2 linked regions of the Saccharomyces cerevisiae S288C genome follow. Changing the gene in region 1 together with any one later gene gives a genetic interaction. Each region holds a gene or a part of one and is shown in the gene's direction. Other genes may lie near its edges.

The links. A genetic interaction does not mean that the proteins touch.
Region 2: mutations in PAC1 (region 1) and GIM4 together harm fitness more than expected from each alone (negative genetic interaction), as found in Saccharomyces cerevisiae (6 studies listed by BioGRID, with this or other methods).

What each region holds. Positions count from the first base shown.
Region 1 is NC_001147.6:823,509-828,369, forward strand, and holds PAC1 (Pac1p), read left to right. Parts: upstream 1-2,876; coding exon 2,877-4,361; downstream 4,362-4,861. Other genes in the region: putative serine/threonine protein kinase HRK1, read right to left, coding at 1-1,359; YOR268C (uncharacterized protein), read right to left, coding at 2,026-2,424; VPH1 (H(+)-transporting V0 sector ATPase subunit a), read right to left, coding at 4,544-4,861.
Region 2 is NC_001137.3:146,360-149,099, forward strand, and holds GIM4 (tubulin-binding prefolding complex subunit GIM4), read left to right. Parts: upstream 1-1,816; coding exon 1,817-1,835; intron 1,836-1,923; coding exon 1,924-2,240; downstream 2,241-2,740. Other genes in the region: VAB2 (Vab2p), read right to left, coding at 1-396; YEA4 (Yea4p), read left to right, coding at 592-1,620; WBP1 (dolichyl-diphosphooligosaccharide-protein glycotransferase), read right to left, coding at 2,363-2,740. UniProt on the Saccharomyces cerevisiae protein: Binds specifically to cytosolic chaperonin (c-CPN) and transfers target proteins to it. Binds to nascent polypeptide chain and promotes folding in an environment in which there are many competing pathways for nonnative proteins.

The sequences.
Region 1 (4,861 bases):
CTCTTCGTGATGCCTGGCAGATTCAACATAGTCGTGTTCTATATCATCCGGCATACAATATAATCTAAAATTATCGTCAGAATCTCTAGGGGCTTTCCATGGAAACCTTTTAAGCACCATACAACAATATATGATCCCAATAGACCATATATCGACGCACTGAGGATCATAAGATTTGGTGGAGGTAATCACTTCCGGCGCTAAGTAAGGGTCACTACCCACGATTCCATGAGCCATCGTTACGCCATCTTCAAAAGGATATCTGAACACAACAGCACTACCAAAATCAATTAATTTCAAAATACCCTGGGAAGTCATGACACAATTATCCAATTTCAAATCTCTATGTGCCAATCCCATAGAATGTAAATATTTAACACCTTCAGTCAATTGCTTCAAGCAACAGTTGATCTCGCCACGAGACATCTTGCCTGTCATAACAACAGCAAAAAAATCAATCGGACAGTACTCCATAACTTCATAGTATTTATTTTGTTTAGAATCAGAGAAAACGTCAACAGTTTCGATAACATTTGGGTGATGTAAAGTCGAACCAATACAAAATTCTGCGGTGCACTTCTTGGCATATTCTTTCACACTCTCATTCGGTTTCCTTGGTCTGAATTCTTTGACGGCAAAAGTAGCACCATCAGTTGGTCTCACAAGAACTTTAACGGACCCACCGGCACCGGAACCCAATAACTTACCCAATTTCCCGTATTTTTGAGCCAGAATACAATCATCGTGATATATATTAATATTATTGGACAAAGATAGGATAGAATCGGTACTTGGCGGTATAGCAGACTGGGTATGAGCATAGTGGTCTGTAAAGCCATGAGGATGCTGGGCACGATAGTGATTATTTAAATTAACTGTAGAAGTTGATTTTGAAGGTGGGGGGGAATGGGTGCTATGTTTCTTGGAACGAAGTTGAGACATAGATAGTTTTTTATTTACAGAAGGTCTGAAAAACCTTTTCAATTCTGCCATGGAGTGGGTTTGTTTTGGAGAGGCGGGAGAAGTATAGTCATGGAGCCCATGAGAAATATTATGGTGGTGGTTTGTTTCATAGTTATTATTGTAGTTGTTTGTTGAGATACTGGTTGCATTAGAATGGCTATGGGTGTTGTTATTAAGGTTTGTTGTAGTATAATTTGTAGTGGTTGTGGTAGATTTCATGGAATCTGTAGATTTCTCGCTTCTTAGTGAGTCATTACTTTGTTTTCTACCAATGAAGTTTAAGAAAGATTTAGAACTTCTGATCAACTGTGGCGGGTTATTAGACGAATTTTCACGGTCATGATGATGGTCATTATGATGACCATGGAATGGGTTTCTCGACAATAGATTAGGCATCTTTATACGAGAAATAGTTCTACCGTATTATTATAATTATTAGTGTTATTATTTTTGTTTTCGATCAATTCTAGCGGAGCTACAATGTGGTAGTCAAACGCTGCTATTGTATTTAATTCCGGCTCGAGACCAGTCTGGAAAGTCGACGTATATCGTTACTACTATCCTTTTTTTATTATTCCTACTATTTCCTTATTGAAAAAGTGGAAAACTGTTAAATCTGGAAATTCTTCACGATTCTAGAAAAATAGGAGGTGAAGAAGATTTCTAAGCTTTTTGAAAAAAACGGGAAAAGGAAGAGGCCCAAAAAAGTGAAAAAAAACTGTGTGTGTGAAATGTAAACGAACTTTGCTCCCTCTAGGAAAAACTTCTTTAAGCGGTTGGGAACTGTCTTGGGCTTACTTGTTTGTAAACAGTTGTATGAATGATTCTATATGCTAATTCTCAGTTTGTCTCTCTTAAAGATTTGTCACTCTGAAATATATAGCCAAATAGAACTAGGCGAAGAAAAAGAAAAGGGGCGGCGACGACGTAGGGGTCAGGTAGAAGAGTTGGGCACTTATTGGCGATATAAAAGACAAAATACACTAATGCAAGAGTATGGTGAGCGAAAGGAAAATAAAGAAAGGCTACGTTATTGACGGATATATGAATCAAGACACAAGACTATTTTGTATAGTAAGCAGAACCGGCTTGTGTTTGTGATTCATGGATCAACGAGACGGTAGCGAATAAGCACCAACGGAAAAAAAGAAAACATACGCATACATGCACGTACAAGATAAAAAAAGCACAGGTGTGGTGGTAGTATTGGGATAACCAGGCACACGCTACTGCGAGATAGCAAAAGACCCTTCCCGTAAACCGCTCGGATAAACCGATTTTGTCCTTTAGCGTGACACGGATTATACGCGGGGATCCGGCGTCACAAGCCACGGCCCGTCCCGTCCGCGTGGTTTTTAATTCTGGCTCCGCGTAGTACATTTTGTAGCTTGCCTTTTTTCCGGCTTCTAGAAAACTGGAAAAACCATAAGAAAAAAATGGGAAGGGGAAAACAAAAACCATTCAGGTCTTGCGTGCCGAGAATTTTTTTTTTCTCTTTTTCGTTGTCAACTTTTGCAGTAGCAGCCGCTGGCGACCCGGACGGTAGCCATGGCAACGGTTAGCTAATGGTAGGTAAATAAAACGAGTAACGACGTTTTAGTATATCTTGGTAAACTACAATTAGATCTTAAAACGGTTCCTGAAAAAGTGCTTTCATCTACCATTGAATTTAATTCACTTCCCTTTATGGAATTTGCACTGGTTTTGTGCTGTGGGATGTGGGTGTTTTGAAATATTTTCAGCTTGCAAGTCGTGCATATTGCACTTGTTTCTTATTTTTGGCGAGTGTAAACGTAATAGGTAATCTTAGTATTGGGCCATCGTCGCCCAGATAGCCATTGATAAAGCAGCTAGGTTCGTCGTCCGGTTGTTGGTATACACCTGTGCGTGCGTAAGTGTAGAAAAAAATAGAAATGACTAACTGGCAGCAACAGCTTCCTTTAACAGATACACAGAAAAATGAACTCGATAAAAGTGTCCTCCGATATTTGAATTGGAATTACAAACAAACTGTACGACATGAGCATGCTCAAGATTACGAAAGTGTTCGACATGCAATTGTAACTCTATCAGGTTTTCTGTTGCAAGAATCAGTGGACCGGCAAGAATTCATCAGTAACAATGACACCAGTAACGAAAGTATGGTAGACATTGATGAATTACTGCTACCGAAGAAGTGGAACTCAATTGTTAGACTACAAAAAAAAATCATTGAATTGGAGCAGAATACAGAGACCCTTGTATCTCAGATTAAAGATTTGAACACTCAAGTGTCAGAACTAGCACAATTCAAACCTACCACCAGTAACGGCACCAGCGCACATAATGTTTTGAAATGGATACCGAGAAATCTACCAAGCTGTTTAATTAATGTTGAATCATCTGTCACTTCCGTCAAACTACATCCCAATTTGCCTATAGTGTTTGTGGCCACAGATCATGGCAAATTATACGCATTTGATTTATTTAACTACACCATCCCTCTGGCATCCTTGCAAAGTCATACCAAGGCAATTACCTCCATGGATGTTTTATTTACCAATTATACGAACTCCAGCAAGAAGAACTATTTGGTGATCGTTACCGCGTCTAAAGATTTGCAGATTCATGTTTTCAAGTGGGTCTCCGAGGAATGCAAGTTCCAACAAATTAGGTCTTTATTGGGCCATGAGCATATTGTCTCTGCGGTAAAAATCTGGCAGAAAAATAATGATGTCCATATAGCGTCCTGTTCCAGAGATCAAACTGTTAAAATTTGGGACTTCCACAATGGTTGGTCGTTGAAAACATTTCAGCCTCATTCCCAATGGGTTCGTTCCATAGACGTTCTAGGCGATTACATCATCTCTGGTTCACATGACACTACATTAAGGTTAACACATTGGCCATCAGGTAATGGTCTTAGTGTTGGCACGGGTCATGAATTTCCCATAGAGAAAGTTAAATTTATTCATTTCATCGAAGACTCTCCGGAGATAAGGTTTAGAACACCATCAACGGATCGATATAAGAATTGGGGGATGCAATATTGTGTCTCAGCGTCAAGAGATAGAACGATAAAAATCTGGGAGATACCTCTACCTACGTTAATGGCCCATAGAGCACCCATACCGAATCCTACAGATTCAAATTTCAGATGTGTTCTTACGTTGAAGGGGCATCTTTCGTGGGTTAGAGATATTAGTATTCGAGGCCAATACTTGTTTTCTTGTGCTGATGATAAATCTGTCAGATGTTGGGATCTGAACACGGGGCAGTGCTTACACGTTTGGGAAAAGTTGCATACAGGATTTGTCAACTGTTTAGACCTGGATGTGGATTTCGATTCTAACGTTACCCCAAGGCAAATGATGGTCACTGGTGGATTGGATTGCAAGTCTAACGTTTTCATGAGATAAGTTTGGCTTTCCTATTTCTTTTTCCCTTTTTTTTGACTCTTTTTAAGCATTGGTTGATACTTTAAATACTTTATTGAATTAGCATTGATAGTATATAATAAGGTTTACTCACTATATAGTAGCATCATTTATTATTTAATGAAGTACTTAAATGTTTCGCTTTTTTTAAAAGTCCTCAAAATTTAGCTTGAAGCGGAAGAGCTTGCACTAGCAACAGCGACTTCCATGTCTTTATACTCAAATGCGAATGGTTCGTATGGTAAACCTTCACCCACGAAAAACTTGGACATAGATTCAACCCAGTGCAAACGTAAGGAATGAAGCATGGCAGATGTACCTTCCATCAAAACAAGAACTGCACATGTTAGTGCGAACCACATGGCAAAAAGTGCAACCGTCATAAACACACCCACAAATCCTCTAAATCCAAAGGCAATTTGAATTGTCATTGTCCATAAAACACTAGACAATTGAGCATGTGCCAATGATAAGGCCCATAA
Region 2 (2,740 bases), on another chromosome or scaffold:
GAGTTCTTCATTTAACGAGCCAATTTTTTTTTCCGCATTGGCCAATAGACGATCATTTCCATTGATACAATTAGTAGAAGCCCTTTGCTTTAAGACGTTTTTGTAACTATGTTCTACCTTTTTTAACGACTTTTTAAGTTGAAGTTCAATTTGCTGCATCTGATTGCGTTCCTCGTCAATGTCCCTACTTACAACTTCATAGATGGACAGAATGTCTTTTTTTACTTGTAATAACTCATACTTCGTGCTATTGAAGATAGCAGCCTGTGTTAATTTTTTATGGGATGCAAGGGGAGGTAAGCCCTTTAACTCTTCGTAATAGGAACTGCTTCCAACGGCATCAAATTCTATTCTTGATTTCCATTTCAGTATACCTTTAGTTAAGTCTGCTACCATGCTAGGCACTCTCTGCCTTTCTTATGGTTTGGTTACGCATACTCTTCCTTTATATATTCATTGTCATATTTTAAGGAAGCAATCGCTCCCGACGCAAAGTAAAAATATTCAGTGCTTTGCACTCCAGTTAGAAAAAATGAAGAGAATTCAATTGAGAATAAGCAGGGAAGTAATTGGATTGGGAGAATCTAAAAAATGTGGAACTCACTAAAAGCATTCGCTCTAGTGTTCGGAGGTTGTTGCTCCAATGTTATTACATTTGAAACCTTAATGAGCAACGAAACAGGCAGCATTAATAATCTCATTACTTTTTGTCAATTTTTATTTGTTACATGTCAGGGACTCCCCGAATTTCTGGATGTTCATCAACCTTTCCCTTACTTCAAGCCTCTGAAAACTCCACTTCACGTTTATGTCATTACTGTCGTTTTATTTTATATTTCATCTACGACGAATAATAACGTATTTAAATACAACATATCCATTCCGATTCATATCGTTTTCAGATGCTTCGGAACCGTAATAACCATGTTTACATGCTGGTTATTAAATGGTAGGAAATATACAAAGATTCAGATTTTATCAACACTATTTTTAACCATTGGAGCTATAATTGCCTCATTATTCAAAGATGCTGATTTTCGGTACCAAGATTTGAAACTGCAAGCGTGGAAAATTGGAAGTGACCAATCTGTAGATCTCACTTTTATTTTTGGCATTTGTATACTAGTACTTTCATCATTCACATCATCTTTACTTTCAGCATACAATGAACGTACGTATCAAAAATATGGAAAGCATTGGAAGGAGAATATCTTTTACAGTCATTTTTTATCATTACCTCTCTTTCTATTTAGTCGAAAGCAGTTAATTCACGAATATCGAGTGATGAGAAAGTCTGAAAGAATATTGTGTTCAAATTTTGGAGGGAAGATTCTAGTCCCGCGAGAAGAAACTCTCCTTCTTTTCAATGTGTTAACACAATATTTTTGCGTCAAGGGTGTTAATATCCTCGCCAGTAAAACAAACGCTCTGACACTTTCCATAACATTACTTGTAAGAAAATTTATAAGTCTTTTACTGAGCGTCCGACTTTTCGATAATAACTTGTCATATACTGGCTACATCGGGGTCTACCTAGTCTTTTTTGGTGCCTTTATATACTCGCTGGGATCAATTCACCCCAGGCAAAATGACAAGGGGGCGATAAAGAAAAGTAAATGAACACACATTATAAACTAACCTTAAATCCTACTTGTATGTTCCTTAACTCTATATTAGTGGTGTTGACGTAAGTTTAGATAAAATCGCGAACGCTGCCGCCTGGAAGTAAATGAAAAAAAAAAAAAAAAGAATTCATCACCTAAACTCACTAATCTTTAAAACTCATTCATGAGAAGTGGAGAACTATATTACAGCTATGGAACAAAGGAACAACGGTATGCAAAATTTCGATCTCTGGGTTTTAATAAATGCATGTAGCCAATTTTATCTTACTAACAATCTTTGTGTTTTCTCTGTGTATAGTCTTTCAAGCAAAATATAATGAATACAAACAAATTTTGGAAGAATTGCAAACAAAAATCATAGAATTAGGTCATGACAAAGATGAACACACTATAGTCATAAAAACACTGAAAGACGCTGAGCCGACGAGAAAATGTTACAGGATGATAGGTGGCGCACTTGTTGAAAGTGATGTTCAAACGAGTTTGCCTATTCTTGAAACTAAGAAGGAAAACATAGAAGGTACAATAAGTAAAATGAAAGAAACCTTAATACAAACTGCAAAAGAGTTTGAAAAATGGAAAAAAGACAATAAGATTCAAGTCGTTAAAAACTAAACCATATATAAAATCTATTGCAGTACTTAGTTTGGCAAAAAATATAAATAAACACAATCAGGTACTCTTATGTATTTATGTGAGCCATTTATAAAGAATTATAAAGGATATGAAAACATATATTAGTTTGTTTTTTTGAATGTTTCAAGTTTCTTGCCAACAGAGGAAGTCGTAACGAAAGAAACAACAAAAAATATCCACGCAACAATGACGCCACAAATGGCGCTAATATAAACCCAAGAATTGCTGATTTCCCAACTTCTTGGGTATTCATCATTAGCAAGGTGACGGATAGCTTTAACGTCTTTGTCAGTAGTGAACGACAGGCCAATCTTACGATAGTCAGTGAGGAATGTAAACACTCCATGGCGGTCTGGAAGGATGAATTCACCGGTGGTGTAATACTGAGTTTCAGAATCGTTTCCGCTTGGCGACAATGTTAGACGGTAGTACGGATCCACTTGTCTTAGTTCAAATTGGATATCATCAGCGATATGTGG